3 linked regions of the Lepisosteus oculatus genome follow. Each later gene encodes a partner of the first gene's protein in a complex. Links are inferred from orthologs where the notes say so. Each region holds a gene or a part of one and is shown in the gene's direction. Other genes may lie near its edges.

Evidence for each region.
Region 2: heatr3 (region 1) and rpf2 share a complex: the UniProt entries of both Homo sapiens proteins name them as parts of the hexameric 5S RNP precursor complex. The link is inferred for Lepisosteus oculatus from reciprocal best matches to the Homo sapiens genes HEATR3 and RPF2.
Region 3: heatr3 (region 1) and rrs1 share a complex: the UniProt entries of both Homo sapiens proteins name them as parts of the hexameric 5S RNP precursor complex. The link is inferred for Lepisosteus oculatus from reciprocal best matches to the Homo sapiens genes HEATR3 and RRS1.

What each region holds. Positions count from the first base shown.
Region 1 is NC_090715.1:1,954,765-1,965,685, forward strand, and holds the start of heatr3 (HEAT repeat-containing protein 3), read left to right. Parts: upstream 1-6,110; 5' UTR 6,111-6,306; coding exon 6,307-6,447; intron 6,448-9,124; coding exon 9,125-9,297; intron 9,298-10,461; coding exon 10,462-10,549; intron 10,550-10,741; coding exon 10,742-10,854; intron 10,855-10,921. Other genes in the region: cnep1r1 (nuclear envelope phosphatase-regulatory subunit 1), read left to right, coding at 1,139-1,210, 1,833-1,906, 2,536-2,645, 2,992-3,046, 3,638-3,679. UniProt on the Homo sapiens protein: Plays a role in ribosome biogenesis and in nuclear import of the 60S ribosomal protein L5/large ribosomal subunit protein uL18 (RPL5). Required for proper erythrocyte maturation.
Region 2 is NC_090697.1:5,196,126-5,206,814, forward strand, and holds the start of rpf2 (ribosome production factor 2 homolog), read left to right. Parts: upstream 1-5,459; 5' UTR 5,460-5,548; coding exon 5,549-5,571; intron 5,572-6,875; coding exon 6,876-7,008; intron 7,009-9,812; coding exon 9,813-9,850; intron 9,851-10,077; coding exon 10,078-10,117; intron 10,118-10,689. UniProt on the Homo sapiens protein: Involved in ribosomal large subunit assembly. May regulate the localization of the 5S RNP/5S ribonucleoprotein particle to the nucleolus.
Region 3 is NC_090701.1:51,348,308-51,359,164, forward strand, and holds rrs1 (ribosome biogenesis regulatory protein homolog), read left to right. Parts: upstream 1-5,439; 5' UTR 5,440-5,460; coding exon 5,461-6,561; 3' UTR 6,562-7,934; downstream 7,935-10,857. Other genes in the region: adhfe1 (hydroxyacid-oxoacid transhydrogenase, mitochondrial), read left to right, coding at 9,222-9,274, 9,813-9,850, 10,202-10,248, 10,348-10,401. UniProt on the Homo sapiens protein: Involved in ribosomal large subunit assembly. May regulate the localization of the 5S RNP/5S ribonucleoprotein particle to the nucleolus.

The sequences.
Region 1 (10,921 bases):
AGGCTGAGTGTTGAGCTCGGACACGGCGTTGACCGGGCCCCGGGCACTGTTTACGTAAACTAGTGTTAATTTGGCTTTGCAACTAACTCTGTAGTTGCAAAGACGTTGAAACACAAACATGTAACTAACATCCTTGTGAGTTTTACAATGAATGTGTGGGACAGTGCAGTAATAATATGCAGGATCTAGAAATTTAAGATCACGAGTCATTTCACACTACTATCCACCTGTTTGTACGCGTAATTTGTCTCTTCTTTTTTACGGTTTACACAAAAATCATTTATTCATAAATATTGTGGGGATATTTTTAACCGGTGCCGGGTTTCACCATTTAGGAAACTCCCATCATTTTTCTCCACTGTTTTGGGGATAGTGTGTTGAGATCTGTTTGAAAAACAATTCGTCGCACATTTATTACTATGTTTTATTGTCTCGTTTAAAACATTTCTTGACGTATTGTACAATACGTAAATTATGACCAGAAATGCGTTTTGTCTGCTTCTCGTCGGTATGTATTTATCATGCCTTTGTATGTTTACAGGGCGAGCGTGAATGTGTGAATTCACGTTGCAACTGTGTGCACCTCTTATTATCAAGCTTTTAATCTAACATGCTTACACGCGCGCAGCTACTGCGTCTTTAGGTGCCTTCAGAAATCAGACCTTATTTTTAAGCCTCAAACTTGTGCGTTTGGGCATTACACCTTCTGGAGTTTAAATGTCTAGGCTTGAAGTAAAGTTGTGTCTGTGGCCAAGGAGACGTACATGTTGCACTGAGCTGCTTGAAACATCTGCCATCTGTCTCCATCCATCAGCGCAGATTGTGTTTCACTTCAGCTTGGGACAGAAACGAAACCCAATGTTCTGAAAAGGAGAGGTGGTACAAACAGTTGGAAGTGTCAGGATCCATGAAAAACTGCATTATTAACTCGCTTGAGTAAAAAAATCCTACATGTTGTCAAGAATTAAATGTACAGTCCACAAGCCTTACCTGGAATAAGCAGAAAATTTTGGATTAATATCCAAACTGGTGTTTCCCAGTAAAAACAAGTTTTAAACGGTTCACATTAGAGCATGTGACTGTATGGTGTTGAAGGTTAAGAGCTGCGTCTAATGGCTTGGAGATCTTTTTTGTGCAGATCTGAAGGCGTTTGAGAGGAGACTGACAGAGTATGTGTCCTGCCTGCAGCCTGCGACAGGGCGGTGGAGGAGTGAGTACTGACAGATTACATCGACCCGTGAGGATGGAATTGATGGGTTTCGGACTGGGGCAAGAGCCTTTTTGTTTGTTTTGCTAGTGTTTGTCAACTGAGGCAAATTATCAAATCTTTGCGCTAGCTACCAATCACGCATTCCAAACCCTGTGTTAGAGTAAAAGTTCCAGGGAGTTTCTGGAAAAGAGTAGGGGTGTTACCCCAGCATCCTGGTCAAATTTACCCCCTGCCTTTACCAGTCATGGCCTCCTAATAATCCCCTTCTTTGAACTGGCTTCATCACTCTGCTCTCTTCCCCACTGAGAGCTGGTGTGTGGGGAGCGGACTGGCACACTCTGGCTGCTGTTGCATCATTTGGGTGGGGGGGGGGGTAGATTATTATTATTATTATTATTATTATTATTATTATTATTACATTGAGGAATTTTCATTGGAAAGAAGGATGAAGCCTGTATTAAACTAGAAGCCCCTGCTGCATAATACTGTTCAGAATTAAGTCTTGTTGGAGGCCATGAATGTGTTGGAGAAGGAACTGAAATTGAGCTGAGAGATTTGGTATCTGCCCAAGTTCGCAGGTGTTCTCACATCAGTGTCTTCCCCTGTGCTCGTCTCTCCACAGTGATTCTTATCGTGGTGTCTGTCTGCACAGCGACAGGGGCTTGGAACTGGCTGATAGACCCAGAGACACAGAAGGTATGTGTGTAGCCACGCCGAGGCCGGCTGGAGGCAAGGATTTCATCAGTGGCTTCTTTAAACTCAAAGGAACAAGTAACAGGTTTATTCCATGCTGAAAAAAAGAAGAAAGAGAACACAACGTTTCGGCCGTGGAGCCTTCTTCAGGTGTGAGAGAGACAGGGCAGTAGGCAAAGGTAAAGAAGCGGGAGAACAAAAGTTGGGAGGGAGGAGGAGTGAGAGGCGGGAGCAGGGGACAGAAAGAGAGGCCAATCAAGAGGTGTGAAGTCAGAATGGGTGCAGAGAGGTGTGAAATGAAACTTCCAATGAATGGAGAAAATGTAAAAGAACAGTAGTCTGTCGTTAAGAGAAGGGAGAATGTGTGATCCTAGCTGCAGAATAATTTTGGTTTCGGTGGTCTTTCTGATGTATGAGTTCGGAAAACCGTCTTTGAGAACACAGACGGAGAGATTAGAGTGGTCGTGGCCGTCAGAGGTGAGATGAGAAACAATGGGCTTGGAGAGATCTTTAATCTTCACAGCCCTGACATGTTCTCTGAAGCGGTCTCCGAGTCTCCTTCCTGTTTCTCCAAGAACTCCTTCGAGTTCTTTAAACTCAATCTGTTTTTATCCTTTTCATGTGTTTTGCAGGTGTCATTCTTCACATCTCTGTGGAATCACCCATTCTTCACAATTAGCTGTATAACATTGATAGGCTTGTTCTTCGCAGGAATACATAAGAGAGTAGTGGCCCCATCGATGTATCCTTTTTGTCTTCAAAGAGCTGTTTTGATACAACTGCAAATAAAAGCAGATTCGCTTCTGTTAACACAAAATCATTTCTGGGCCAACTTTAATGGCAGTGTCTTATAGCTTGACTCACCCGTAGGAAACAAGGGAAGATTAGCCTCTGTTGGGCTGTGGCAGACAGACCTGTTATCTCTGCGGACTACAGTGTCGAGATACAGAAATATTGTGACAGTCCTACAAAACCGAGGAACACATGAAAAGATGTTATGTTAAATGTGAAGTAGGATTAATCTAGAAACAAATGCCACAGATTTTTCTATAAAGTTTTCTGCTGTTTCTTTAACCCACGTTCTTCAGAATCGCCGCCCGCTGCCGGACAGTTTTAGCAGAATACAACATGTCCTGCGATGATGTGAGTAGACATTCCCAGCACACACAAGGCTTCTTAAGGAAATGTCATAAAATGGTTGGGAGACCTCGGGCATGAATGGAAGCTGTATTGTAGTGAGCGGTGCTGCACTTGAGGAGGCATAGAATTGTTGCAGTTGTTTAATTGTGAATTGGTGCGTTTGAGGACGCACAGAAACAGGAATCAAATGATCTACTGCAGTTGGATTCTGCATTGTGACATCTGTGGAAGGCACCATCTTGCAGTGGGATATGACAGATGAGTTTCTGGTTATTGAGTCTCCCCTGAATGGTCTATGAAAGCACATTCCCCTGTTCTGTTTGCTGGGTCTTAACACTTAAGCACAGCATCTGGAAGTGGAGGAGGATTTAGAATGAAATGTTGGAAATCTTTGAATAATTTCGTCTTTTAGTAGTGAGCACTGTTAGACCAGGTTCATAGAATCAAATGTTATTTTGGTATAACGCAGTTGAAGGAGCATGTAAAGTACTTCTGGTTTTAATCTGGGAATCTTTAGGGCATTCATTTTGTGTTATTGTGGTGCAAGTGAACATTTAATCAAAGGCGATGGCTTATACCATCTTCTTTCTGCAGACAGGAAAGCTTATCCTGAAACCAAGACCACATGTCCAGTAGCACCTTTCCCGAGATGAGAGTTCTGACCAGAGACCACCAGGAGAAATCGAAATAGCTTTTTTAGGAGCAGTATCTGTTGAGTGATATACAGACAATGAACCCTTGGAGGCCATCATCTAAAAGAGAGGAAGAGAAGAGAATAACAAATAGGTGATTTGTAAATTATGTTTCTATGAAATGCCAAACATCATGTGGAAAGGTACTTTTCTGTGTTGTAAATTTCAGTGTTGCTGTGTCACTTTAAAAGCCCTTGCTTGTGTGTGAACCAGCTTATTGGAATGTGACCAGGAACCTCCAGCCTTGGTCTCTTTTACTGTATTTATCTTGTGTATTTGCTGTAAATAGTGTGGCACATCTCTACCACACCAGAGTGCATGGGTGTGCATGTGACTTTTATCTTTTAATCCATCTTAAAGGGAAATATCATGGTTTTTCTCCTAGATCCCAGCAACGGGATTATTTTCTCTCTGTTGCCAAAGCTGTTAACTGTTGGGTCTTGTCTCTGGGGCTCTAACACTACGCAGTCCTGTGTCATTTACCTTGACATGGTTTGTAAAACTTCAACCGATGCGAAGTCCTTGAGCCTTTTTAAACAATTTTTATATTAAATGCAGGAAGGTTTGAATGTTTGATGTCTGCATTGCCCACCTGTATTTGTGCTTTTGATTGATTAAATTTGTCAAGTGTTTTTTTCTTTTGGCTGTACTGTGAAGGCTAAAATTCTGTCTCTAAGAGTCATGAGCTCAGGACGTTGCAGCTCTGATAGTGATGATTCACTAAGTGTTCTTGTGTGAACTAAGCCATCTTGTATCAGTTAGGTTTTAAGGTCAGGAATGCCAGAGAGTCCACTGCAGAACTGGAAATAAAAAATCTGGATCTGTATAAAGAATTGTTATATTCCAGTTTCTCCATATTACAATGTTTAAATCATGAATTGCTTAAAATATTGATCTGGAACTCTGGGCTGTCTTCTGGTACTTTTGAATGCTGGTACTGTATGTCTGGAAGACTTGTATACCATTTTATTTTTTGTTGATTGGAAATTAATTAAAATAATCCATCTGAAATTGACCTTTTTTTCCTAGGTTGAACATTGACATTTTTTCATTTCCATGGTAGAAGTGTCTTTGGAGATGAACATGCTGCATTGCTAGATTCAGAAATCGCAACCCTGTTTTACTCAGTTAATAAATAGGACTGGATGCTGAAACATTCTCTCTCCATGAGGATGCCAAAAATCTGAAGTATTGTTGTTTCTTTGAAAAGTTATTTAAATGACATTGGTCAAAAGCCATCTGTTGAATCTTTTGTGGTCTTGCATTGCATTGTATTATTTCAGACTGTCATAGCTTAGAAGCATCATAGTAGAATTTTATCATCACTTTATAAGAAGAATTCTCTGAATGTTTTTTTTTATATTTTTGCTTTAATTATTTCTCTGGCAAAAAAAGTCTTACGGGCACATGACTAACCTTTTGATTTCCAACAGTGCAATTGTAGCAGATGTTTATTGTAACTGATTTAATTTTGTTCCCCATATCTTTCAATAAATATCAATTTTAGTGTTGTGTGTATTGTTTTGTGTTTAAACCTCAACAGCAATTCTGAATGGATGGTGATGAGACTACAGCTAACATTTAGAAATTAAGCTTAAACACACACCACTCACAAGGCCAGGCCTGGATACCCAACTACCTGAATATTTGCTTTTGTGTGTTAGCTGAATCAACATTAGCAACTTCCAGACAGAATCTTTTGCCGATACATTAAATACCATCAGTTCGTTTCTGACAGAAGAGACCTCACAGGACAGGGGTGTTGGTCACACATTTATTTTTGCGGGGGGTAGTCTGTCTAGCCTAAGGATCCCCATATAACTAAATTTGTGAACTCTTAATGTAAAAATGGGTTCAGCGTGCAAACCCAAAGACTACCGATACAGAATTGGCACTTACCATCTCTGTGAAGGTTATAGTTTTACAGCAGTATTAAAACAGTCTGTTACCTCTGTACTGCCTGGAGTTTTTCTCTGATGAATAGCAGAAATGGTTTTGCACAATGAAAAATGTTAAATGACCTCCAACAGCTCAAATGCAATGCGAAATGAATACCCAATATAGAATATGACTGCCTCGTTCATTTCTGACAACATCCCGCTGCTTAGTCGCTCTCTTCAATTTCCTTCTGCTGTTAAACCTAAAGGGCCGTGATCTTTTTAATACCATTTAAGCTACTGCATGTAAAATCAACTGGAAGCGCAAAAGCAGAAGTTTTAGAGATTTTAATCCGTGCCACAAAACACGATTTCTTGATTTTTAAAGTCATGGGACTTGGGAGAGGCTGTTCCTTCTCCGCGAGGCGGCAGCAGCCCCCGCGCGGCGCCCGAGCCCGCTCCATCGCGCGCAAGCCCAGCCCCACGCTCGGCGTCAGGCCGCGCGGCGTGCGCGTGCTTGCCGGCGCGACCGTGGCGATGGACGGCGGCGGCGTGCGGGGCTGAGCCGAGCTACACTACACTACACTGATCCGCACATGGCCGGGCGCAGCGCTTGAGATCGGAGTGCGTGTGGGTCCCGTAACACAACCGCGCCTAGCTGCCACTACCGCCTCGCCCCGCAGACGACAGCGCGATGGGCAAGAGCAAGAACAAGAAGTTTAAGCGGCCGCAGTTCTCGGCGGAGGGGCTGCCCGTCAGAATCGGCCAGGAGGAGGTCGAGGAGGACGGAGAGGCTGGAGAGGTCGACACCCCAGCCGGCGAGCTGCTGGACAAAGTAAGAGGTTTTCGTCTGGCGGCGGTGTCCGGCGGTGTCGAGGCCGGTTGAAACTAATGCATCTAATCGGCGTCACATGCTTCCGCTCGGCCCGGCTGTCCCCCAGTTTAAAAGGGCTGAGCGGAGGCACGTGCGATTAGCGCCCCTGCAGGGAAAGTTAGACCGCTTTCTCCTTTTAAACCACCACCAGCGCTTTTCTTCATCTTGGCGTGTCTGTAGTGGTTACAGAAAGTTCAGCGACATGTTGCCAGGCAGGACAGTTTGTTTAGCACACTACAAAGCGCGCTGGTATTCACCGACTCTTGGATTTGGGAGCTGGTGATTAATTCTCCTTCCTCTTCCGAGTTGTTTTCCATGCATTGGTACGCTCCTCCGTTAGTTTAGTCTAAACGATTTGAAACACGAAAAGATCATAAGTTTGTTCCAAACCCCAATAACTCTCTGTGTAAAGACGAGCCTTTGTTCTCATATTTAGATGCACTTAGTGTACACTTTTATCGCGATATTGTAACATCGTTTGCGTTTTTATTGTTCTCCCAAATTGTCTTGAAGATGATAATTGTATCAACATAAATACATGTTTTCTGTAAGTGGACTCAGCGCAGAACTAGTTTCCTCTATTGTATCTATATATTACTCTTCTGCTTGAATGTGACTCTGCACTTGTGGACATCAATCAAGTTCTCAAATTTCTCTGTCACTTCTTTAGTGTCTGCAAATTGATTAATTAATAATGATATACGGTCATGTGTTATTCATGACAGTCGTGGTGGGGTCCTGAGTTTAAGTCCGGACCTGGGGTGCTGTCTATGTGTGTGGAGAATGTGCCAACTCCTGTCCTCCCACAGTCCAAAGACCTGGCTTCTGGGAAAACTGGCCCTGTTCTGAGTGCGTGAGTCTGCGTTCGTGTCCATCTGGCCTGTGATGGACTGGCGTCCCACCCAGGGTGTTCCCTGTTTGCACCTGTTGCTTACTGGGATAGGCTCCGGCTTCCCTTAGACTGTGAATTTGATAAAGTGGATAGGAAATGGATATGATAAGATAAGATCACTTTATTGGAATATACAATTTCTTGCATTAGGAATTCGTCTTTTCGCATACCCTCGCCTGCTCTCCATGAGACACAGACAGGGAGAGAAGCTTGGGGTCAGAGCGCAGGGTCTGCCATTGTACGGCGCCCCTGGAGCAGCTGGGGTTAAGGGCCTTGCTCAGGGGCCCAACGGAGTAGGATTCCTCTGCCAGCCGCGGGATTTGAACTGGTAACCTTCCAGCCACAGGGGCAGATCCTGAGCCACAGAGCCACCGCACTGCCCCCGGTGGACGAGAGCAATAAAATAACTCATAGTAATGATCCGTCAAAAAGCCTGTTGCTGAACCAAGGCCTACAAGGTCTAGAACTAGAGCTCTCTTTGGGCATCAGTGTGCAGGAATTCAACGGACCCTGTTTAACTGGTTCAGTCTGTAAGGAAGTGGGGGCTCGTGTATAGTGCAGGTGTGTATTGGGTCTGAAGCGTTGCAGTTAGTCGTTAAGGATACATGCTGCAGTAGGGTAGAAACTGTTCTTGAGTCTAGTGGTCCGTGCTTTAATAGTGCAGTCCCACTTGCCAGAGAACAGTCTGTGGCTGGGATGGTTGGGATCCTGAATGATGATCGTTCTTTATTGCGACACCGGATGATGTGAATCTCACCGATTGATGGTAAATCACATCCTATAATCCTGTGCGCTGTTGCCACAACCCTTTGTAGTGCGTCTCTGTCATGCATGGTAATACTGCTGTACCACACAGTGATGCCACTACTGAGGACGCTTTCTATGGTGCTGCAGAAAATGCAGGCGCTGTTGTGCCTTTTTCAGACCGGCTGTTGTGACACCAAGCCAAGTCCGTAGAGATCTACAGACCCCAGGAATCTGAAGCAGCTGACAGTTTCCACTGCTGTACCCTCGATGCTGATTGGGGCGAGACTCCCTCTGGGTGTCCTGATGTCCACAATGAGTTCATTTGTCTTGGTGACATTCAGGGCCAGATTGTGGTCAAGGCACCATCTTATAAGGTGCTCCACCTCATTCCTGTATGTGGACTCGTTGTTGTTGACCAGCCCAATAATAGCGGTGTCATCTGCAAACATATTAATGTGGTTGCTGCTGTAAGTGGCTGTACAGTCGTAGGTGAACAAAGAGTACAGCCTAGGACTGAGACAGCAGCCTTGGGGAGCTCCAGTGTTTAGGATCACTGTGGAGGAGATATTGTTGCCAATTGTCACAACCTGAGGTCTGCCTGCCAGGAAATCCAGTATCCAGTTGCAGATAGAGTTGCATAAGCCCAGATTCCTGAGTTTTGGGACCAGCTTGGTGGCAACAATTGTGTTAAAGGCCGAACTGTAATCCCTAAACAGCATCCTAACATACATCTGTCTGAATGTTCTAGGGAGTTATGTAGTGCTAGAGATATGGCATCATCAACTGACCTATTCAGGCGGTAAGCAAACTGAAGTGGGTCAAGAGATTATGGGATAGTGCAGTATATATGACAATACTGGGCTTTCTAGGCACATGACTGAAGTGAGTGCTACTGGGCAGAAAATCACTCACACAAGTTGCCTTAGGGTTCTTGGGCAGTGGCACAGTTGGAGTTTTCTTGAGAACTGTCACGCCTGTGTCTGTGTGTGCCTGTGGCAGCTGCAGAACCCGAGCCCGGACGTGCGGGAGTACACCTGCGCCAGCATCTCGCGGATGGTGCAGCAGAGCCAGGTGATCCCGGCCTTCCTGCAGAGGGACGCCGTGCGCTGCCTAGGGCCGCTGCTGCTGGACCGCAGCCTGTCCGTCAGGGAGACCGCCGCCGGCGCACTCAGGTCAGCAAGGGGGCGCTGGGCTCTGGGGAGCAGTGGGGCGCTCAGGTCAGCAAGGGGGCGCTGGGCTCTGGGGAGGAGTGGGGCGCTCAGGTCAGCAAGGGGGCGCTGGGCTCTGGGGAGGAGTGGGGCGCTCAGGTCAGCAAGGGGGCGCTGGGGAGGAGTGGGGCGCTCAGGTCAGCAAGGGGGCGCTGGGGAGGAGTGGGGCGCTCAGGTCAGTATGGGGGCGCTGGGCTCTGGGGAGCAGTGGGGCGCTCAGGTCAGCAAGGGGGCGCTGGGCTCTGGGGAGGAGTGGGGCGCTCATGTCAGTACGGGGTGCTGGGGAGGAGTGGGGCGCTCAGGTCAGTATGGGGGCACTGGGCGCTGGGGAGGAGTGGGGCGCTCAGGTCAGTACGGGGCGCTGGGCTCTGGGAAGGAGTAGGGCGCTCAGGTCAGTACGGGGCGCTGGGGAGGAGTGGGGCGCTCAGGTCAGTACGGGGGCGCTGGGCGCTGGGGAGGAGTGGGGCGCTGGGATGAGCACGGGGGCGCTGGGGCGGAGTGGGGCGCTCAGGTCAGTACGGGGCGCTGGGGCGGAGTGGGGCGCTCAGGTCAGTACGGGGCGCTGGGGCGGAGTGGGGCGCTCAGGTCAGTACGGGGCTCTGGGGAGGAGTGGGGTGCTCAGGTCAGTACGGGGGCGCTGGGCGCTGGGGAGGAGTGGGGCGCTGGGATGAGCACGGGGGCGCTGGGGCGGAGTGGGGCGCTCAGGTCAGTACGGGGCGCTGGGGCGGAGTGGGGCGCTCAGGTCAGTACAGGGGCGCTGGGCGCTGGGGAGGAGTGGACTGAGGCCTCCAGGCTCGCTGCCTTCTCGTGAGTCGATTTGTAGAGACGGATGGACACCACATCTCTCTCAACCCTACAACAGCCTGCTGTTCTTCAAACAGTGCAGATCAGGCCGCTGGGGGACGACTGCATCATTTGCACACCTGAATACGCCGCTGTGATGTCAGATAACACTGGGTGCCGCTGGACAAGGAGGCGCTGGTTTCTGGGTCCTGGGCTTCTCCGTTTCCCAGTCTTCCTTGTTTATCCATATATCCGGACTCGGTCCGGGTTCCTGCCCCCCACTCACGCCCGGCACCAGCGGACTGGCTGGAGCAGAGCGTGACCTCGCTGTGTCTGTTGTCCCAGGAACCTGAGCGCGTGTGGCGGGTTCGAGGTGTGCGAAGACATGGTGAGGCAGGACGTCATGACGCCCCTGACTTCTCTGCTGCGGGAGGTGAGGTCCTGGAGCCTGCTGGGACTGAGCGGGACCCCTAAACTGGCTTTTACTGTCTTTTCCCCGCCGTCACCCCTTCTCTCAGTCATTCTCTTTTTAGCCTGATAAAGGCCGGCGAGGTACGCGTCTGTCGTACAGAGCGACGTTTTGAGTGTCTGATTGTTGTGTCGTGTGTTTTGTGCTCTGCTGCAGTGCTGCGCGGGGTTTGACTCGAGCTCTGCCCCCTCCCCTGACCCGGACAGGGACCGCAGGAACTCCCTGGAGGCTGTGGCCATCGAGGCAGTGAACCTCCTGTGGAACCTGTGGTAAGAGGGCTGCAGAGCCCAGTGCAGGGTTGCTGGCTCTTCGCTGGCTGCAGAGCCACACCGTGAA
Region 2 (10,689 bases), on another chromosome or scaffold:
CTATACAGTATAGTTGCCTGCATTAAGAATATCAACGTGTGTATTAACACCCACTGAATATCTCCTACATGTGTAGACTGGCGAGGAAACAAAATGGCTGGGGTATCATAGTGTTGATGCAGGTGTGTGTTCACGTAACCACATAAACTTTCTCCATTAACACTCTTTATTTTGCATCTGTAATGTAATCCCAGGTATAAACATAGTTACATGATCTCCCAGGTGCAAATTGCTCCAGTGCAGTTCTAATGATACAGATGTCTAAAGAAACTAGCCACTCCACATGTAACCTTTCGGCCAAATACAGTGATTGTATTCTGTCTTATTCTGAACTTGTTATACATTTGTCATTAATTACGTGAAAACTGCACTTTCTGGGGTTTTAGTACTACCAACAACTACTAAGAGAAGGTTTAGATACTCCCAAGAAGTATGTTACTTTATTGACACTTATGTGGTCAGGCAGTTTTTCTTTCCAGTGCAGGTTGTACAGTGAAGCCATGGTGAGAGACAATTTGTGCATGAATGCCAGCATAAATGTACTGTACAGAAAGAATAGTTTTAATGCAAACTCCAGTATTGTGGTGTAAGGTAGTATTCTTGACCATGTGGCTTTGCCATGCAAAATGTCCCATTGTACTGGGAACGTGGAGTACATTTGAAGTCATTTCATAATGACATTATGGTGGGGTGGCTCTGTGGCTGGAAGGTTGCCAGTTCATATCCCGCGGCCGGCAGAGGAATCCTACTCCGCTGGGCCCCTGAGCAAGGCCCTTCACCCCAACTGCTCCAGGGGTGCTGTATAAATGGCTGACCCTGTGCTCTGACCCCCAGCTTCTCTCCCTGTCTGTGTGTCTCTCATTCATGCTTAAATACTAAAACAATGCCCATGTTTTAGTATTTAAGCATTTCCCCATTACTGCAGGGAATGTCCAGTATTTATTCTACATACAACATTCACATTTAGCAGATTTTGTCCATTTAATCTGAAGCCCGTTAAAAAACGAGAGCTTACTGCACAGTGCATAGTGTGTTTATTGGACAACCCTAATGTGGCAGTGTGAGGTCCCCAGCAGTTTATCCTTTTCACCAAAGAACTGAGATTCAACTGCTCACTCATATTCATGTGCCTGTCAGACAGGTGCTTAATTACTCAGTGGTGTGACTCACTCTGATTAATAGACAAAACATACTTGGGCATCGCAGGAATGCTGGTGACGTGTTGTAGCCATGGGATATTTCACTGTACTTCCAGGCTTGATTACTTCTCCGTAGCTCATAGTTTCATAGCTGTCCTTACTTTTCCAGTTTTTTGGTACTCCAAAAAAAAATAACTCACATTTTCACAAACATACCAGGGTACCCCAGCCACCCTCTGTGGGTGCCTGCCTTTTCAAGAGATAAAAGGTGAATTACCAACAGGTCCAGAAACACAAGAACTTCAAGCAAAAAAAGAAGAAATCAAAGTGACAACACCGATATTGTAAACTACGAATTTATAATCTGATCTTGAATTGTATTGCCATTTTGATTACTGGGCCACATCTTGTTCATATTGTGATTAATGACGCTTTTAATTAGGTAGACATTATAATGAGGGTAAGCTGGAGGTAGCCCAGTATCCCAATCTCCAGGAACAAAGGAGCAACTGTTATTATAGATGTACACACATATTATATACAGTGCCCTTCAAACGCATTGGCACGGCAAAGTGAAAACTTGTTTTTTTTTTTTACAGGAATGTAATTAATATTTGCGATCATCCATTCTCAGCATTTTATTTTGGTGGGTAAGTCCGTGCATTTTGTCTGATCATATTAGAACAGTTAAGAGCAAAAACCCACTCTGTGACCAGGCTTAGTGAACACTTGGAGCGCGCGAAAGCTAGTATCGAGTTGCAGGTGCCCTTTGACGTCTGTAACCCCGAGCTCAACCCGAGGTGTTCTGCTGCAGCTGCTTTGGAGTCCTTACCCATTCTTGGCTTGTTCTGACTTTCGCTTTGTTTTCCCTTTGACGTGGAAAATGCACACGCATTTGAATTTAAATCTGGAGATTCACTTTGTCAGGTCTTTAAGATTTTGCTCTTTTTCCACCTGATCGACTCTGGTGGTTGCACTGGCCTTCAGTCCTGGGTCACATTCATGCTGCCCGGATCGTTGCTTTCGACCTCATCAGACAAAATGGTTCCGCACAGCTCGGGGGTCATTTCCCTGCCGTCGTCATTCGTTTTATCATCGTTACTGGCGAGTGGGACAGTCCCGACAGCAGCTGTGCCCACTGCCCGTCGAGGAAGGGCTTGATCTAACACCGCTGCTGCTACATGGCCGTCACGATTCCCGGTAGACGCTGTGCGCCGAGTCTGCTCCTCAGCTGAATGGCTCACTCTCCAGGGACAAACCATTCCGCCCCACCTGGTAGTCGAGCTCGCCTTTTTATTCACACCCTCGGTACATCAACTGGGAGTTTATTAAGGCATAGAAAAGGCAGGTGCTCCATGAATGCCCCCCCGCACACACACACACAAAACGTAAAACATAACGAGGTTCTTTTTGAAACCAGCTCTCGTCCGTTTTTCCATTAGCCTTTAAGGACATCTAGTGGCAAGCTTGACAATTGTGTGTATTTGATGCCCGGACTTGCACAATTAGAAACAAAGGGATAGGGGTAAGTGTACGGATATAAGGAAATACACAGAAACACGACCAGCGTATGAAAGATAGTTCAGTTGTAAAGTTTTCATACCCGATTTCATACATATTGACACACGTCTGAAACACACACAGCCGAAACGTGGTGTTACTTTTCTTTACCTTTTGGCACGGAATGAACCGTCACCTGATCCTTATGATGGAGAACGTAGATCACAGTTTTTAATTCCGTAGCCTATCCGTCCATTCATTCATCTTCTGATCGCCTTAGCCATACAGGAGCTGAAGCCTATCCCAGCAAGCAACGGGCCCAAGGCCGGACACACCTGGGGCCTCACACCAGTCCATCACAGGGCAGACAGACACTCCCACCAGCGCCAGTTCTCCCAGAAGCCAAATAACCTCCCAGCATGTCTTAGGACTGGGGTGGGGGGGAAACCGGAGCCCCGGTGACACCCACGTGAACTTCTAGTACAAAATTGAGCCGAGGGTCACGGCCGTGCGCTCAGGCGATCAGATCCCTGTTAGGACACTCTCTTTCACCTGCATAACCTTCGAGCTGCCAGAGAGCAGGGCTCTGGAGACTTGCGCAAGCAGCATTTTCGGTTTTTGCCTTTTTTTCTAGGTATCTGCTGATAAATAACTCATTTTGTCTGTTAAAAAAAAAACTATTTTACCGTGTGAGTTCGCAATAAAAATACTGTTTGGAAAAAAAGATGTGCAAGTGTCATTTGTAATCCAGAAACATTTGAAAGGGTCTTTGAATACTTCTGCAAGATACGATTTTTATTGTCCCCTGAGGGATTTGTTTTATGGACACCCAGCACTCATTTAAATCTATTTCTTTAAATAGAGTCCAAAAAAAGAGAAGAAAAGAAAAGAAAAACATCGCACATTATACTATTACAAAAAATAAGAAAAACACTGCACATCATTCTGTTGCACAGTAAAGTGTAACACATAACAACAACATGTAACATTTAATAATAATAATAATTGCTTACATTTATAGAGCACTTTTCTGGACACTCCACTCAAAGCGCTTTACAGGTAATGGGGATCCCCTCCACCACCACCAATGTGCAGCCCCACCTGGTGATGCGACAGCAGCCATAGTGCACCAGTACTCTCCCCACACACCAGCTCTCAGTGGGGAGGAGAACAGAGTAATGAAGCCAATTTATAGATGGGGATTATTATGAGGCCATGATTGATAAAGGCCGATGGGAAATTTGGCCAGGACGCCGGGGTGACACCCCTACTCTTTTCGAGACACACCCTGGGATTTTTAATGACCACAGAGAGTCAGGACCTCGGTTTTACGTCTCATCCGAAGGACGGCGCCTGTTTACAGTATAGTGTCCCCATCACTATACTGGGGCATTAGGACCCACACAGACCACAGGGTGAGCGCCCCCTGCTGGCCCCACTTACACCTCTTCCAGCAGCAGCCTTAGTTTTTCCCAGGAGGTCTCCCATCCAGGTACTGACCAGGCTCACACCTGCTGGGATTCAGTGGGCTGCCAGTTGTGAGTTGCAGGGTGACATTTATAACACAAGGCACTGTATACTACTCATTCTACACGCCCTAATCTTACAGTCTACACATAACTTGCAGCTTTACAATAAGACTTTCTGCAGATAAAAGCCCAGGAATCTCTCTCAAGTCAGTAGCTGGATGGGAGACCTCCTGGCTGCCAGTTGTGAGTTGCAGGGTGATATGGCTGCTGGCTTGCAGGGTGATATGGCTGCTGGTTATTAGTTGAGAATGGACACAAGGCACTGTATACTACTCATTCTATACGCTCTAATCTTACAGTCTACACATAACGTGCAGCTTTACAATAAGACTTTCTGCAGATAAAAGCCCAGGAATCTCTCTCAATCTCTCTCAATACTACACATCATGAGAACAGCCCTACTGGAAGACACAAGACAGAATATACCAAGGAACCCAGAGAAAACCCACACAAACTCATTATATGGGTGCAGCCATATCACCCTGCGGCTCACAACTGGCAGCCCACTGAAGCCCAGCAGGTGTGAGCCTGGTCAGTAGCTGGATGGGAGACCTCCTGGGAAAGACTAAGGTTGCTGCTGGAGGTGTTAGTATGGCCAGCAGGGGGCGCTCATCCTGTGGTCTGTGTGGGTCCTAATGCCCCAGTATAGTGATTGGGACACTATACTGTAAACAGGCGCCGTCCTTCGGATGAGACGTAAAACCGAGGTCCTGACTCTCTGTGGTCATTAAAAATCCCAGGGTGTTTCTCGAAAAGAGTAGGGGTGTAACCCTGGTGTCCTGGCCAAATTTCCCATTGGCCCTTACCAATCATGGCCTCCTAATAATCTCCATCTGTGAACTGGCTTTATTACTCTGCTCTCCTCCCCACTGAGAGCTGGTGTGTGGGGAGAGTACTGGTGCACTATGGCTGCCGTCGCATCATCCAGGTGGGGCTGCACACTGGTGGTGGTGGAGGGGATCCCCATTATCTGTAAAGCGCTTTGAGTGGAGTGTCCAGAAAAGCGCTATATAAGTGTAAGCAATTATTATTATTATTATTATTATTATTAATTAACTCCACACAGATCCCCAGTTCCCCAGGGCCCCAGCGCTGCGAGGTAGCGATGCTGAACACTGCGCCACTAAGCTGCCCAAGAGCCATAGCAAATAGTAATAAATGACCACCGAGCCACCCTCGCAGCTCCTCGTTTGAGTATACTAGTAGATAAGAAAGTGGAAGGGGAGAGTGTGTACGCTTTCACACGTGTTTATGCCATGAGAGGAAATTGCGTAACAAAGGGGGTGGGTCTAACTGAATACTGTTTCCTGTGTTAGATTCACGTGGAGAGACGGCGTTTTCCTCAAGCGTCTGTGAGTTTTATCGATTAAGGTCGTGAAAATGACACAGCTGGATGCCGTAGTGTAAGTTACCAAACATTTTACGATGATGTGTTTGTTTTAATATTATTAGAGAAGCAACCGCACGAGTATTTTTAGTTTAACACGTGGAAGCTTGTAGCGTATTTTGTGAAACGTGCATAGGAAACTGTAGTGAACTATGATCAGTGTTTGAGAATGTAGTTTTTCATTTTTGCGACAGTGCGTTAAAATATGGATTCATTACCTTGGAAAAATGAAATATTCCGATGAATGGTATTTGTGTTTGGTGGGTATGCAGGCGGTTAACTTATTCAGTCTATGTGTTAAGTCACACCTTCTTTAAGGTTTGATTAGATTCCAGTGAAATACCTGAAATTTGTATTGTAAATATAATAATGCAGGACCTAGTTCTTGTCAGGTTAACACTGGCGTATCTATACGGGGGGTTAAGTTATTGGTGAGTATTACTGTAAATCTTGGTAACGCCAAAGAGACAGTTCGTCCACACAAGGTGTTTTTCAGCATCTGGGCTGTTTAATTAAGGATCGATTCAGTAACTTATTGCATTGGTTCAAAGTCCTCTAATGGCATGAAATAGAAGTTCCAGGGTTGAATACGTTCGGTCTAAACCTCTGGAAACAGCCCAGATGCACTTGGGTACTGTCCCCACAAAGTGAGTATTCTTGGGTGCATAGAGGCCGAGGTGCTGTTTTTCAGGCTTAACTTGAAGAATAAAATTGTTATTTTTTTCCCATACTGCTATGATTTCTTTCACTCTAATCGTTTTTAGATATTCAGCTGCTAAAAACTTTGCAGTATCTCAGTGACTAAAACCAAAAAGTCCCCAATTAGAAGCATAGTTGTACAGATTATTAATGTATATTTGGTATTTTTAAAATCCTTGGAAGGACATGTTTCCGAACGAACTCTTTAACTGCTGAATTCCTCTGTGATATTTGAATTTAGAGGCTCGAAGGGCCCTTTTTTAAAAAAAAAAAGTTTATTGTACTCTCGGTGTTTTAGGTTTAACAAGGTAAATCCTAGTAAAACCACACCTTGTTTCCAATAATATGGGTGTGAGAAATAGCAAGGTGGCTGTCAGAGGAAGACCTGTAACTTGTTACAGAGGAAAACAGACAGAAAGGCCATGTGTGTAATTAAAATATATGGCAGTATGGGATGTGGAGTTGCCTTTTTCGCAGAATACCAGCTACAGTAGGTTTTGGCTGGGTACGTTTCCACAAGCTTTTCACCTCCCCAATTAGAAGTGTCCTTGTCAGTGTTTGTAGCTTTTTGCATCTTGATCAATTCTCTTGCTTCACAAGACCTTTGTTTTGAATCTGCAGAAAACCCAAAACAAAGCGATCGAAGAGGTTTCTCCAGAGCCGGGAGCCCAAGCTCACTGAAAATGAGAAGAGTGCGATGCTCATCAAAGGGGGGAACACCAGTGAAACTGTCACCCAGGCTCTGAAGGACCTTGTGAGTGTCGTTTCTCTCCGATGATCCCTGTAAGCGGTTGCGTGTGTGTAGGATCCCAAGGCGCTTGACACAGCAGGGGACACACTTCATCCACGGTAGACCTGCTGGAGAAGTGAGATCGTTATCGCCAGTTTATTTAGGGAGCAAGCCCAGAGTGACATTTAGCCACAACACCAGGGTAACACTCAAACTCGTTTTTAAAAGTGCCATAGGGTCTTTTCCGAGCAAGTTACCAGAACCGTGGTTTGACATCTAATCCGAAGGAATGGATATTACAGCACAGCGTCCATGATCAATGATATGTCCTGCGTACTCTCTGCGTCACCCCAACCCCCACCAGAAACGTGGTGTAGGATTTAAGATTCCAAAATATGAGTAGAGGAGTTTTTTTTGCCATATTTACACCACGTACATTGGAATTCTTATTGGTGCGATCTCTCGGGATGTGCACAGTACAGCAGACAACACCACAGAATGTAGACTGTACTTTACAAACTTAATAAGTAATACAACCAGAATGATAAATATGTTGTGGGATTGTAAATATGTAGTAGTGAGAGACAAAAAAAACATGGTCGACTATGCAAATAGTGCAGATGTGTATTGACTCTGAGGCACTGCAGATAGCTGTTGAGGATGTGCACTCAGTAGGGTAGAAGCTGTTCTTGAGTCTAGTGGCCTGTGCTTTAACAGTGTGGCACCGCTGGCCAGAGAGCAGGGGTGGCTGGGATCCTGAAGGATGGATTTGGTGATTGGGCCTTATTGTGACAGTGGATGATCTCACCGATTGATGGTAAATCACATCTTATGATCCTCTGTGCTGTTGCCACAGCCCTTTGTAGTGCATCTCTGTCATGAGTGGTAGTACAGCTGTACCATGAAAATATAAGGGTATGGCATAAACTGGACACTTCTTTGTCCAAAAAACTGGATATAAAGCTGTTTTTTAAAACTCCCAGGACATAAACAGTGTGTATTTCTTTCAGTATTCAAATGTTTTATTATAAACCTTTTCCTGAAATTTGTCTGGAACTCATTTAATCTGCAAATCATTTGTTAATGAGTCCACATTAGGATTTTTGAACATTTGAATAGCTTTTGCTTAAAAACGATCTGGGAGAGATGCCCGGAAGGATTTTTGCTGTGTGCTGATGCACAGTGGAAATGCATCAGTTCTAACGGATTCAATCAAATATTTTAAGCGTGCAAATAAAACAATCACAGCACTCGAGTGAAAACCCATCAAAATACATCTGTATGTTGCATCTTAACACAGTCCTGCCAGCACTGATTTTTGGCATACCATACCACTTTTGCTGTGCCTCTGCAGTCAGCTGGCAAAGCTGATCCAGAGGCCCGATTAGATTGAGCAACATAAGCACCCGCACACTGCTTGCCCAGGTCGCTGCACGAGCTGTGGGCCTGAGCTTCGTCCAGGGCAGAACGGCATTCCTGAGTCATTCCACTGCAACTCTGTTGCCTCCATCTTGCCTGGTCTTCAACCGCTGAAGGCAGGGATTTTGTCTCTCGGCTGTCGGCGTTTCTTCTGAACGTCAGCAGGCAGATCCTTTTTGTCCTGGCAGTTTATTACAGCTGTCCCGTTTATATGCAGGCTACTTTTCTCATGCTGCAGTCGGAGATCGTGACAGGACTGGTGAATCTTCCTGTCCTCGGGTCTGCCAGTTACACAGCCTGTTTGCTGCTTTCTCTGGACTGGACAGCTTAATTTCCCGACAGGACATCGGCACGTCATCTGTGCACTTTCTCACCACGAGACCACCCTCCCTTATTCCAATCCTAAATGAACCATAAGAAAGGTTTCAAAAGAGAGCAGGCCATTCCACCCATCAGGACTGTTTTGTATCTAGTAGTAAATGAATCAGAGGGGCCAGGGTGTAGACTCCACAACACGGCTGGGTAGTTTTTCCACACTGCCACAGGCGGACTCGGACATAGAAAAGGCATCAGGTTTGTTCTTGCACCAGTTGAAATGATTGATAGATAAGATTTTATTGATCCCGAAGGGAAATTGATGTTACAGCAGCCCGAGACGAGCAAAAAAGACAGACATCAGAATTGGCGAAACATAAGAATGTACAGTAATACAAAATAAATATGAAATACAGTAAATTAAAATAAATACATAGGTGTGTGCACAATATGATGATAGTCACTGTAAAAACAGTAAAATATGTGCAAAATGTGCGTAGGTTTATACAGACTGATTGTCCCCAAAAAAAAAGTACAATGGAGCAACATGCTGTCCATAGACGAGCAAATGAAGGGCTAACAGTCCTAGACTAGGGCAGCGTTATACACCCTGACAGCCACCGGGAGGAAAGACCTGCGGAAACGTTCCCTTGAACACCACAAAAACTGGGTAGTTTTTCCACACTGCCGCAAGCGTACTCAGACATAGAATAGAATAGAAATGCTGTGTGCACAAGGTCCTTAATCAGCTAATTTTGTCGATTTTGTCGATTTGTACCCCACATGGCTGCCAGTCACTGAGCGTCTGTCGTTCTTTATAAGATCACACCTTCACAAGGAGCAGCGCTGCTCAAAATGTTATCTGCTCAGTATTTCAAATGAAAGCATCTTGATGCCTGTGCCCCGTGAGCTGTTGAAGTGTTTAAACCATCGTGTTTTCATCGTGCATCAGTGTGTTAACACGAGAACGGCACCAGTTGGTCTGAAGTGTGAGCAGAGACCACATGGGGGACATTTCTACTTTCAGAGCAATGCGTCTTTTTTAAAACCATAAAAAATGACTTGTGGTAAAAAATCGTTCTTCTTTTTTTCAGTATTCCCTGAAGAAACCAAATGCTGTTACTTACAAAAAGTAAGTATAAGTAACATTTTCAAGAGCTGCATTGTTAAAAAAGAACTACTACTTTGCTTTCCGTGCTGGTAATTTTTAAATTGATGCATTTTATGTTTTAATTTCTCTTTTAATCAAATCTTTAATCTAGTTCTTGTACGCATTTAGTAAAGTTAAATCTTTCCAACAATGAGGAACCATGAAGAAATGTGTGTGTTTGTTTAAAATGGGACTCTTTCATTTTTCAGAAAGAATATAACCAGACCCTTCGAGGACCAAACATCCATCGTAAGCAGCTCTCAGCTCTTTTGCTTCTTTTCACTCAGTGTAGCACTCTGTCCTCTAATGCAAACTTTTCCATCGAGGGCACAAGGCAAATCCATTGGACAAAACAATATTTCACTTCGAGATTAAACAGGTGTTGCTCTGTAGAGGAAAAACACATCTACACACAGAGCTCTTGGGCACAGGACAGGGGTTGAGCTTGAGTGCCTTGAGGTTTACCATTTTCTCCATGTGTTTAATACCCAGGAGGGGGGTTCAGATCCTCTGCTGGACTCTTTCACAGGTCTGCCTCTTAGGTGTGACCCACCCGTTCCGGTGCTGTACATTTGCCTGCGATGGGATTGGGAAGTTTATACTGTCAGATGAGTTTAGAAGATACTCCATTCTTACTCAGGGACATAACATGCACTTAAAATTAATTAAAAGCTTTTCTGCAGCATGGGGGCACTGCAATTCAGCGTTGCTGCATCATAGTGTTGGGGCTCTGGGTGCAGTTCCTGGGGTGCTGTCTGTACAGCATGTTCTCCCCATGTTTGCGGGGGTTTCCTTTGGGTGCTCCTGACTCATCCAGCAGC
Region 3 (10,857 bases), on another chromosome or scaffold:
GTTGTTTCTTTCAATCTGTAAGGCAAATACTGTACAGCAAATGTGTTTGGTGCTAGTGAAAGAGTCTAGCCATCCTGTCCCACAGTTGCGTTCAAACCTGGAGTACCAGCACTGTGTCCAGCAGGACACTGATCACAGTTTAATGCGGAAAGCTTTGGGTGGCCCTTGTCATGTTAGGACAGAAGCATGAGCCGAAAATGTAAAGCATCACTTTGACGTCAGGTGTTGCTAATGTAGCAACAGAAGGGACACAAACCCTACACCTCACTGTGCAGTAGGACAAACACTGACAACAACAGGATAATCCAAAGCTCACACTGATCCCAAAACCACCAAATAACAAACATTTCCAGTTTTGAAAATTGTCATTCCTGTAAGCAGACCTCAGACATCTGCCCAGAATAGAGAATAGTATAGTTTTCTATTCTGTAGAGCAGCCTGCAAAAATGAGTTACACACGTTTCTGATGGGATTCATCTAAAAACACAATGTTCGTCCTGTACAAACATTTTCCTATCTACAGTATGTTGATCCACAGACTGAGTCATGCAAATGAACGTTTTCAGTGACACAGTACAAATTGTACGCTTGCCTTTTTTTCATTTTAAACAGCAAATACAACAAGGGGGGCTGATGCAAGTTGTCAACATGCTCCAAAGCATTGATAAAACTGTCAAGTGATGGGCTAAGCTGGGCTGAGTAGCCACCTCTCATCTGCCTCCTTTCTTAAATTCTTCCATCAGAGGACAGTGCCACTGGAGTGTGGCCATGGTAGGTGAACGAACTCTGGACACCCCTGAGTAACTCCAGGTGGCTAAAGGCCACTGAACCATGACATAACTGCTGTGAGATTAATACTGACGAATCTGTGTGCCTGTAATTTGTGCAAACATCACCTTTGCATGTGCAAACTCACACACACATTTCATGCCACGCACGTTGTCACACGTTTTCACACTTCGTGCTTAGGGGTTAGGGGGATGCACACATTGAAATTGCCCCAGAGGAATCGTAAGCTCAGGCATTTTCAACAAGCATGTCCCAGCTACTTGTGTCATCCTAGTTAGACAGGTGAAATGCTTAGCATTGTGTAACTAATTATGTAAAATACGTGCACTACATTACTAAAATATTTCAGTACAATGTAATATATTTTGTACTATATTTTAAAAGCAGCATGATTTCCTCGGTCCATGATGTTTTATAAAGGTATTATATGATTGTGCTTCTCAACTTTTTTTCTCTTTCATTTTCAAAGTGCTTCTCAACTTTTTTTCTGTTTCATTTTCAAACTGCTTAATAAATGGAGGTAGTGGTATTCATTGCTGACAATAAAAAACTGCAGTATCCTAGTCTCTTCCATCTTAGTCATAAGAAACAGTCAGATGTTTCCACACAGGGCAGTTTCAATACAGGGCATATATGTCTGAGCTGAGCAACAGCACAGACTTTGGAACACTTTCTTTCTAAAAAACAATTGTTTTTTGGGTGTTGCTTTTACATTTAGCAACTCAAAGGAAAAAGATGATTTCTGTATAATACATTTGTAGGTAGTGCGCTCACTGACCATAGCATGACGCCTTTATATACACATGCTCAAATGTCTTAAAGAACACTAGTGAGCTTTGCTGGTACTGGTGGCATCGTCTCAGTCTGATTTGTTCTTGTGTTTTCATGCTGTTATGTTTTTTGTAACGCCATGATCCTAACCAGGACTGAAAGTGGATTGATGAATGTTTTCTGTAAACTAAAGAGCTTCTTTTCAATGCTAAAACTGATGGAGGGCAATCTTTGCAGACAATAGTACTCAATGGTCAGCCTGTAGAGGTTGTGGGGAGTCTATGGGAATGCATATTGATCAGAGGCATAGTTACACCGAGAATACAGACAACATTTTTTAAAAAGCAAATCAGAGATGTTTTTAATTCAAAGACTCAAGAACTTTAATGTTCTAATTTCATAATATCCTAGAGATGGCATATAAAAGCCTTGTTGAGAGCATCCTGGGATTTAACATGACAGTGTGGTATGGAAACCTAAACTGTCCCGGATTGTGAAAATGGCAGGAAAAATAACTGGGAAACAGCAGCCCCAGCTCTGCAACTCATATCATAGTACAGTTCTCAGAATGCCCAGGAACATCACAGCTGACTCCACACATCCACTCCATTCCCAATTCCTAATCTTCCCATCAGGAAGACGGTATAGGGTACCAAATTGAAATAAAAACATTTATAAGAAGTCCTTTGTCCCCTCTGCAATAAAACTACTTAAGGAAGGTATGTAAATGTAGTCTCCCCTCTAAATATTTATTTATCCATCTATTTATGTATCACATACTGTTGTTGTGATTTTATGTGACTCTTGTGTTTTGCTTGTGTGTTTTGTACTTCTGTGAAAGAAGCCAAAGACAAACTTCCACAGCAGTGGACAATAAAGTATCTATTTTTGTAATATATGACTGCCTGCTGGTCTGGCTTGTAGTTTATATGTTCACCTATGCATAACAATTTTTATCTAGCATATACTGTAAATTATGAAGAAAGAAAATACTTGGAAACCTGAATGATTTGGGAATGAAAGGCTAAAAGCGCACTCTCAGTAGAATTGCTGTCTATATAGATCGATGTTAGAATTATAGTTATTGGAGCCTGACTCCAATTTAGCCAAGGAAACCTATCATAGTATTTTCACCCCATAGTGATTTTGTCTGCTGCTTACCAAGACATCTCCACTGTCAGTGAAGGGGCTATACTTCAAAGCCTGTGTACTCATTCCCAAATGGAAATAATTACCCCTGCTGTAATTTTGGACTCATTGAGAAGTGTGGCTCAGCTAGAGCACACAATAAGAAGCTTTCTGAATCACTACTACTGATGCTATGATGGTGAGCCACATGAGACAAGTGGTTTATGATGACAGGACCAGTGCCACATGGAACAAAAAATCCTTGTTTCTTGGCACTCTTTGAAGAAAGAGATGGGCTCCAGCAGTAGAACATCACCCTTGAGTCTTTTGCTGGTAGCATCTTTCTCAATCTTGTTTTTTTTTTCTTCTAACAAATTGTAGAATTGAGAGTTGAAAATGTTTGACTCAGTTTAAAGCTTTCTGCATGTTGAGGAAACTCATACAGCAAAAGATATGGAGGAAAGTAAGTGGATCAGAGCATCCAATATAAAGGTATGACTGCACAAAGGAAAAGTCCCAAATAAAAGTATTACTTTTAAAGCAAGCTGGTTTGTTCCACTTTCCCCTGTGGTTTATGACCTCTTTATTCAGGATGCAGTACACAACATTGTTTGCTTTTTTCAAGTAGGGTTGTTTTGTTTCACAGTTTTTACAGCACTGCCAGTCTTTAGGTTATCAGTTTGTAACACAAAATAATCTCTAAAAGCTTCCCAAACAAATTGTTGTTAGAATTTAATAGCAATAATATTATTTATGCCTTTGTCTAACTTCTTTATTGCAATATTTCTTTTGTAGAACAAGTGTTTGCTTTCTTACACAGTAAAAAGAGAAATCCTGCACAAAAGTAAAAAAACCGTTCAAAACTGCAGTTTCGAATTTATCAGCTGAATGGAAAACGGTTGCATAGCTTGGGATGTGAAATGTCAAAAACAATATTAACTAAATATGTTGAAACTAAAATAATAAGATCACTTTATCTTTCACTCACCAAGTAATTGCAAAAATGCACACTTCATACACACTTACAGTACAGTATGTAAGTACAGTTTGTTGAATAAGGTAAATAATATATAGGACTGGATTAGAAATATGAGCAAGACATTACTGTCTCAGTATTATATTACAGTATGTTTCCTTTCCAAGTAAGTGGAACCACACCAGAGTTCCTCTACAACGATTTCCAGATCAGGATGTTTGTGCTCCTCTTAAGGACCTTAAAACAAAGGCACAGTGTGCTCTTTCCACAAAATGAATAAAAGCCAATTTAAAAAAAAAATGTTCAATACTGACTTTATACATTAGGCCCAGTTGGACAGTGTTTGAAAGAACTAGGATGAACGTTTTGGTTTTCATCGACCGCAAGATCTGTAATCACTTTGATGTGTGCCTATGAAACCTGCTGATTTTATAGTGGTTTGGTTTAAAAACCTGCCATATGAACGATGTAGCCTTGGGACAAATGTACAAAGGCTTTATGCAGAGTGCCCAGGGAGGCAGTGTTCTAAGAGAGTAATGTGCAATGTGGTGTGCAGACTTTCAGTTCATGTATGCCAACACTGTAAAGTGACCCCTCTTTTTGACACTGACATTACATTTAATCTCTGCATCCCCAAGTTAGGTTTACTCTAGTGGCAGGCCTGGAGAGAGAGACTGCAGCAGATACAGGGACTGGCAAGTATTTGGAGCTTACAAACTGTAAATGTTGTGTTTCAACTTGTTTTATCTGTGGCACACTGACAGGTTCCAGCTCCATTCACCAGGAGCGAGTCAATATGTGTTTCATTCATGACTCTTCAGTGTGAAATGCAGGAAGACTGGGATTAGCACTGTTTAAATCAGACAAACTAAACGATTTTTTTCCCTTGAAGAAAAACACATTTGTCTTGTTACTGACCGCCACTTTTCTTTCAGAAATTAGTTGCTTGAAACTATGAAGAGTTATTTACTCTAATTTCGTATTTACGATTTTGTTTATTCATTTTGAGTGAACTAGGCTGTTAAAAGATCATTCATAGGATATACTATATACTATATATCGTATAGTTTTGACTAACATTTATTTCTTGGAAAAAGATAAACCTAAGTATGTCTTAAAATAATATATATGTATGTATGGTTCGAAAATAAAGATTTTGAAGACGTTAATTAGAATTTTTAAAGGAAGCCATACTCCGTTAGAAAAGTTGTTTCTCTGTGTTTGTCAGTAGAACTTAAAAAAAAAACTCCGCGTTTAAAAAATGAATTTAAAGAGCCCGGGGTCAGGTGAGAAAATTATATTACGTAACTCCAGTATCAAAACATTACCTCGTGTGTGGCGTAGTCTATATAATACTCGACATAGTCAGCTCGGTCTAAAATTATATTGGTTTATTTAGCCAGGCTAAAGAATTATGTATCGGGTTATGCCCTAGCTACGGTATAGTTACAGGGGGTGGAAGGTAAATATTTATGAAGTCATGGACAATTTGACTAAGGGTGAGATACTATGAGAATATGAAGGCTCAGTCCTTTAATGATTATTAATGTATTACTGAGTATTATTAAAGAAATTCATTTTCACAACTGGTTTGCATAGAAGGATGAGAGGTATGTAAAATTAGTTTAACAACAACTATAATTTATTTTGGTTATACTTTTTCTTGTGAAATTTCGATATACAGTTCTACGCCTGAAATGCGCATTTCTCCACCACGGCTGAATATATATTGTTTTAATTTCGTATTTACGGTTAAATACCGCCACATAGCGGAACCTGCACGTAAAACCACATCCATGGAGACCCGGAAACAGTCGCTTGACCTTTCCCACGGGCTCCAGCGTGCTTCCTTTGAGAGCGAGACCGTCATGGCGTCCTGCAGTGTGGAAGACGTGCTCGCCAGAGCCGAGAAAGAAGAAGCCGAAAAACTCAAAAGCATCTCGGTCCACAAAGAACTCGAACTCGAGTTCGACCTGGGGAACTTGCTTGCATCTGATAAAAATCCTCCCCACGTCCGAGAGTTCAAGCAGCAGAAAAAAGAGGAGTTCCTGCGCTCTCTCGCCCGGGGCAACACGCAGCTGCTCATCAATGAGCTCTGGAAGTTGCCCACAGAGAGGGTCGAGGAGGTGATAGTGGCCAAGCTACCCGACCCTTCCACTCGGCTGCCGAGAGAGAAACCGGTGCCTAAACCCAGGGCGCCGACCAAATGGGAGGAATTCGCCAAGCTGAAGGGGATCCAGAAGAAGAAGAAAACCAACCTGGTGTGGGACGACGTACACAAGGAGTGGAAAAGGCGGTGGGGCTACAAGAGAGCTAATGACGACACCAAAGAGTGGCTGATCGAGGTTCCCGCGACCGCCGACCCCAACGAGGACCAGTTCGCCAAGCGCGTAAAGGCCAAGAAGGAGAGGGTGGCCAAAAACGAGCTGAACCGGCTGAAGAACATCGCCCGGGCGCAGAAGATCAAAGTGCCCGGCGCTGGGCTGACGCCCGCCAGCCAGCAGTCGAAAGCGGAGCTGCAGATGGCCATGCAGGTGGCCAAGACATCCACGGCCTCCGTGGGTAAGTTTCAAGACCGTCTACCCAAGGAGAAGCCGGCTAGAAACACGGGGAAGAAAAGGAAGTTTCAGCCCCTCATCGGCGACTTCTCCAGCGAGAAGCAGAAACAGCTGGACATGCTCAAGATCATGGACGGCAAGAAACCCAGGCTGGACATCACCAAAGCCGTCAACAAGCAGATGAGGGAAGAGGATGTGGAGTCGGGGTCCAAGAGGAGGAAAACGCCAGGGAAAAAGGGCCGCAAGGGTAACTTTTCTGGGAAAGGAAAGGGGAAAAAGGGACGCGCTGGAGGCGGAGGCAAGAACAGAAAGCCACGCATGAAGCAAGGGAAGCGATAGAGGCGCCACGGGCTTCTCGCGTTTTGCCTGGCGTGGAAGAGGAGCGTGTCTAGATGCAGTCGTCATTCGGTGTTCTGTACAGAACGAACTTTTTCTGCAAACCTTGGTGCCTTGTTCCCCCCCAAAGAAATAACCGTGAGGCCCCGTGGAACTGGTTTCACGTTTAATGGGACGCACATCAATGAACTGTGCACTGGGTTAAATATTTTTGTATCCGATGGTTAATAGGACACATGATATGGTAGTTCAGGTGCGTAGCTGCGTCAGCTGCAAAGGAACAAGTAATAGGTTTATTCCCTGCTGAGAAGTGACGAAAGGAAACAACGTTTCGGCTGGAAGACTCTTTAACTCTTACACCCGAAGAATGCTCCGCCCCGCCGAAACGTTGTTTCCTTTCTTCTCTTTTCAGCATGGAGTAACCCTATTGTTCCTCCACATGATACGATGCCTTGCTTTGCTTCTTTTGCAGTGTACGGTACTGTGCGTGACAATTCGCTGGATGAGTGAAATTTCTCTCGACTGAATATTAAGTCTCTCCGTAGAATCGTGTGTTGTTTTCGCTTTGAGCTCTGAAAGCCCTTCGTCCAAATTGTTTTTTGTTCATTTGCCTCATGTAGAATGCCCATCTGTTAACAAATGATAAATGGGTGTAAATGTAGAAGACCTTATCATGAGCCTAAATGTAGTTCAGATTCTATTGTACAGCAGCATGTTTTAATTGATATTCGAGTTGCATTCTCTTTTACATCAGGTATTTATGAAACAGAAGAGTTGATATAATTGCAGCCTTAGTCTTGACCTAGATTCAGTCAAAATAAGCTAGTGATATCTGGTACCTGATACAGCTGTAACTGCTGTGCAGTGGAAATCTGTCTTGCCTGTCATTTTGTCGGTTTTATGATTGGCCTTGGTCTAACTTTAGGTTAGGTTAACTTTAGATCTAACTTGCTGACCTGACTGGGTGAAATTCACTTGATTACAGGCCCTAGATGGGCTCTATACTATCATGACACATACAATGGGGGACTGTTTTTTCAGCTTCTGACAGGGAATAACAAATATTCAAAGTTCTGTACTACTTGTATTCTGAATACATTCTGCGTGTGATAGTATTTTTACAGTTAATGGACTCTTTTATGTCTTCAAAGATGGTTTTTGTAATGTCTTTCTAGTTTGTTTGAAGGGCTTAAAGGGTGGTAATATGAAGGCCCAGCATTCGTATATGTGCCTAAAGTTAAGAAAATTAAGTGTCGGACTTGGGAATCTGAATATTTAAGGTGTGCATAAGCCTAATTTTGCTGCTGTCTGAAGAGTAAATATTACAGAATGTATTTGAAGTTGGTGGCTTATGAATAAACGTTCACCAAACAGTTGCTGTGGAAATGTTCATTTTCTTTGTATAATCTTAATTACTTACTACTGTATGTTTGAGTGGTGCTGTTTTAATAATCACTAGTGTTCATTGTTACAGTGGTAACCTTATGTCATTTAAGATCTGAAATCTATGCAAATTGTATGAGAGAATCGGATTCCCCTCTTGAAAACAAACATTTAAGCTAAAGTGAAGTTTGAAGATAAGAGATTAAAACTCTGTTAATATACATTTTAATGCTGTTTTGGTGTACTTCTAGAACTTGGCCTTGTAATCTTATCAACATGTTATTAATCTTATTAGCCCTAACCTTGTGGTGGAGACTAAAATTGGTCTACAGATAAGTAAATGTGTAAGAGGAATGCCACAGTTACTATGACAACGGCTAAGTTTGGGTTTCCCTAGGTTAAGGGTTCCTAATGCTGGTTCTGGGGAGTTCAAAACCAGCAGCTTTTATAAGTAATCATTAAACCATCACTTTCTACACGACCTGGCTTGACAAGTGATCAATTAAAAACGATGTGTTGATTAATTTAGAAAGAACTTGTGGCAAACATCAGAATCCCCTGAAATTCTCAAGGGGTGAAGTTCCCTTAATTGGACCAATGTGTTTAATTTATCACTGCTGCTTCTGCCCTATAAAATCGGGTAGCTGAGGATGTCCTGTAAGACCAAACGGCGCGACTGTCTTGCGTGCAGATCTTTTGCAAGTTATTGGAAGAGCTGTGTGCCTTTCGTACCGCTAGAGGTCGTCGCAGCTTCAACAAAACTTAACACGGACAGGCAGAAATTGTCCTTTCTCTCCAGTCAAAACTTTCTGTACAGTAAATACACTAGACACTGATGTCCAATGTATTGAGTGTCAGCCACATCTTGGGTCTCAAAACGAGAAGAAGTTTTAAAAAGACGTCGATACAACTGTATTTTAATGTGCTGACTTATTGAGTACTGCAGAAAATGAGGCTTCAGGGTCCCCAAGTAGCACCAGTCGTGAACAGCACATAATCGGAATTAAAATTAACCTACAGCTGCTTTATGACTTTTTTTTATATAAATTATCGAAATTAATTTACATAAATTGTCTAAATGTTCATTTACACTAGAGAACGACACGTTAATGTCCACTGCTGAGATGCCGGTGTACTAGAGAAGTCTAAAATGCCAAATAAATATAAACAGAACAAAATGTTGTGATCATGTTAACGTGCAGCGCTATGGTTTCGCCTCAACGGTCCTCCTATATCCCACAATTCTTCCGCCGGAGAGCCCCTGGAAGACTTCGCCTGCAATGGCAGGACGTGAGAGAGTCGTGCAGTTGCTCAGGCAATTGGAAAGGGCTGCGTAAGTTTCTTTGCAGAAATCCGAAAATGGGGTTTACGGGTTATACAGAAACGTCTCCACCTGTAAACATGCTAATGTTTGCTTACGCAGTAACGCATACTTACCCAATCGTGCTACTTGCTTACATGTGTGCAATTCCTAGAGCCACGTAATTCAGAGAAAAAAAAACAAATCGGTAATATTCAAGATTATTTGTTCGTCTGTTTAAAAAAATATTAATTGTGGTTGTTCCTTAGAACGATCCTTAAAAACAGTCATACATTCAGTCGATAAAGCGACTTGTTGAAAGAAAAGCTGAAGTTACACTTCAAAGTAACGACTTTGCAGGCGAGTGTAGAACAGAACGTGCACAAACCCCAGCCATGCGAGAGGTGTCATTTTTTGACAGATGGGTGGCCTTCAAGTTGGGATAATTATGCATTAGTCTTAAAAGCAGAATACAATAAATTACCACATGTAAAAGCATGTATAGTAAATATTTAAATAAAATATGTACACTATTTGATTTTTGAATTGTTCTTTTCCTGTTTTGTCACAGGTGCAGATGTCCTGCACATTCTCACAGCTATTATCAAGGTATTTTGTAATACGAAGTTGCGTTAAAGCTGAACCCGGTACTGTTGCCAAATGACAAAGGATTACAATTATTCTGAAGTAAAAATGGCGTGTTTAAAAATCTTCAGCTGGGACCTATGGCTGAAGTTGAAACAGGACAGAAGATTAATAAAAACAAAGCAGAAAATGAGGAAAACTGCAAAAAATGAAATTATAGATTTATATTGTAGTTTTGTTGCTGATCTGTTAATCTTAGATCTACACTCTGGTAGAAAATATTAGATTTATTCAGATTCAGTATACTGTACATTCCAGTTCTCTCTCTACAGTTTTAACTTTCCTTTTCATGACAAAGTTCAATCTGTGTTCTAGCTTCAGGGCATACATCAAGTGGAAAAACAACAGACTATGCATTTGAGGTATGTGATTTTAAATTGTAAATTCAGTAGATTCAAAGTTGTGCTTAAGGCCTGCAAACTAGTGCTGAAACATTTTTACTCTACCTGCTTATATTTCAGATGGCCTGCTCAAACATCAGATATGGAGAAGGGGTTACCAGAGAAATTGGAATGGTAATGGGGTTTTTTTTTCATAAATTTGTGAGGTTAAATCCATCTCTCTCTGGGTATATGCCAAACATGACCAGCTTATTTAAGTTGTTTTCACTGATAAATTACTTTTTTAGAGTTAGTTACAATATTGCACTGAAGATCTGAAAAGGTCCTTCGGCCCCTCTAGCCTGTTTAGCAGTTAGTTGTTAATTGTTCGGTGGGCCCATCCGGATGTTTCTTGAAAGTTTCGTTTTCAGCTACATGGCATGGTAGTTTGTTCCAGACTCCTACAGTCAGCAGTTACTGCTGTTATCGGTTTCAAATGCACTTCCATATCATTTCTATGGTATATCATTTCTGCTTGTGTTCTCTAATTGGCGTTCATTCTGAAGAAAGCCTTTGAGGATTTTGAATACATTATTATTATTAATTCCTTAGACTTATATAGCACTTTTCTGGACACTCCACTCAGAGTGC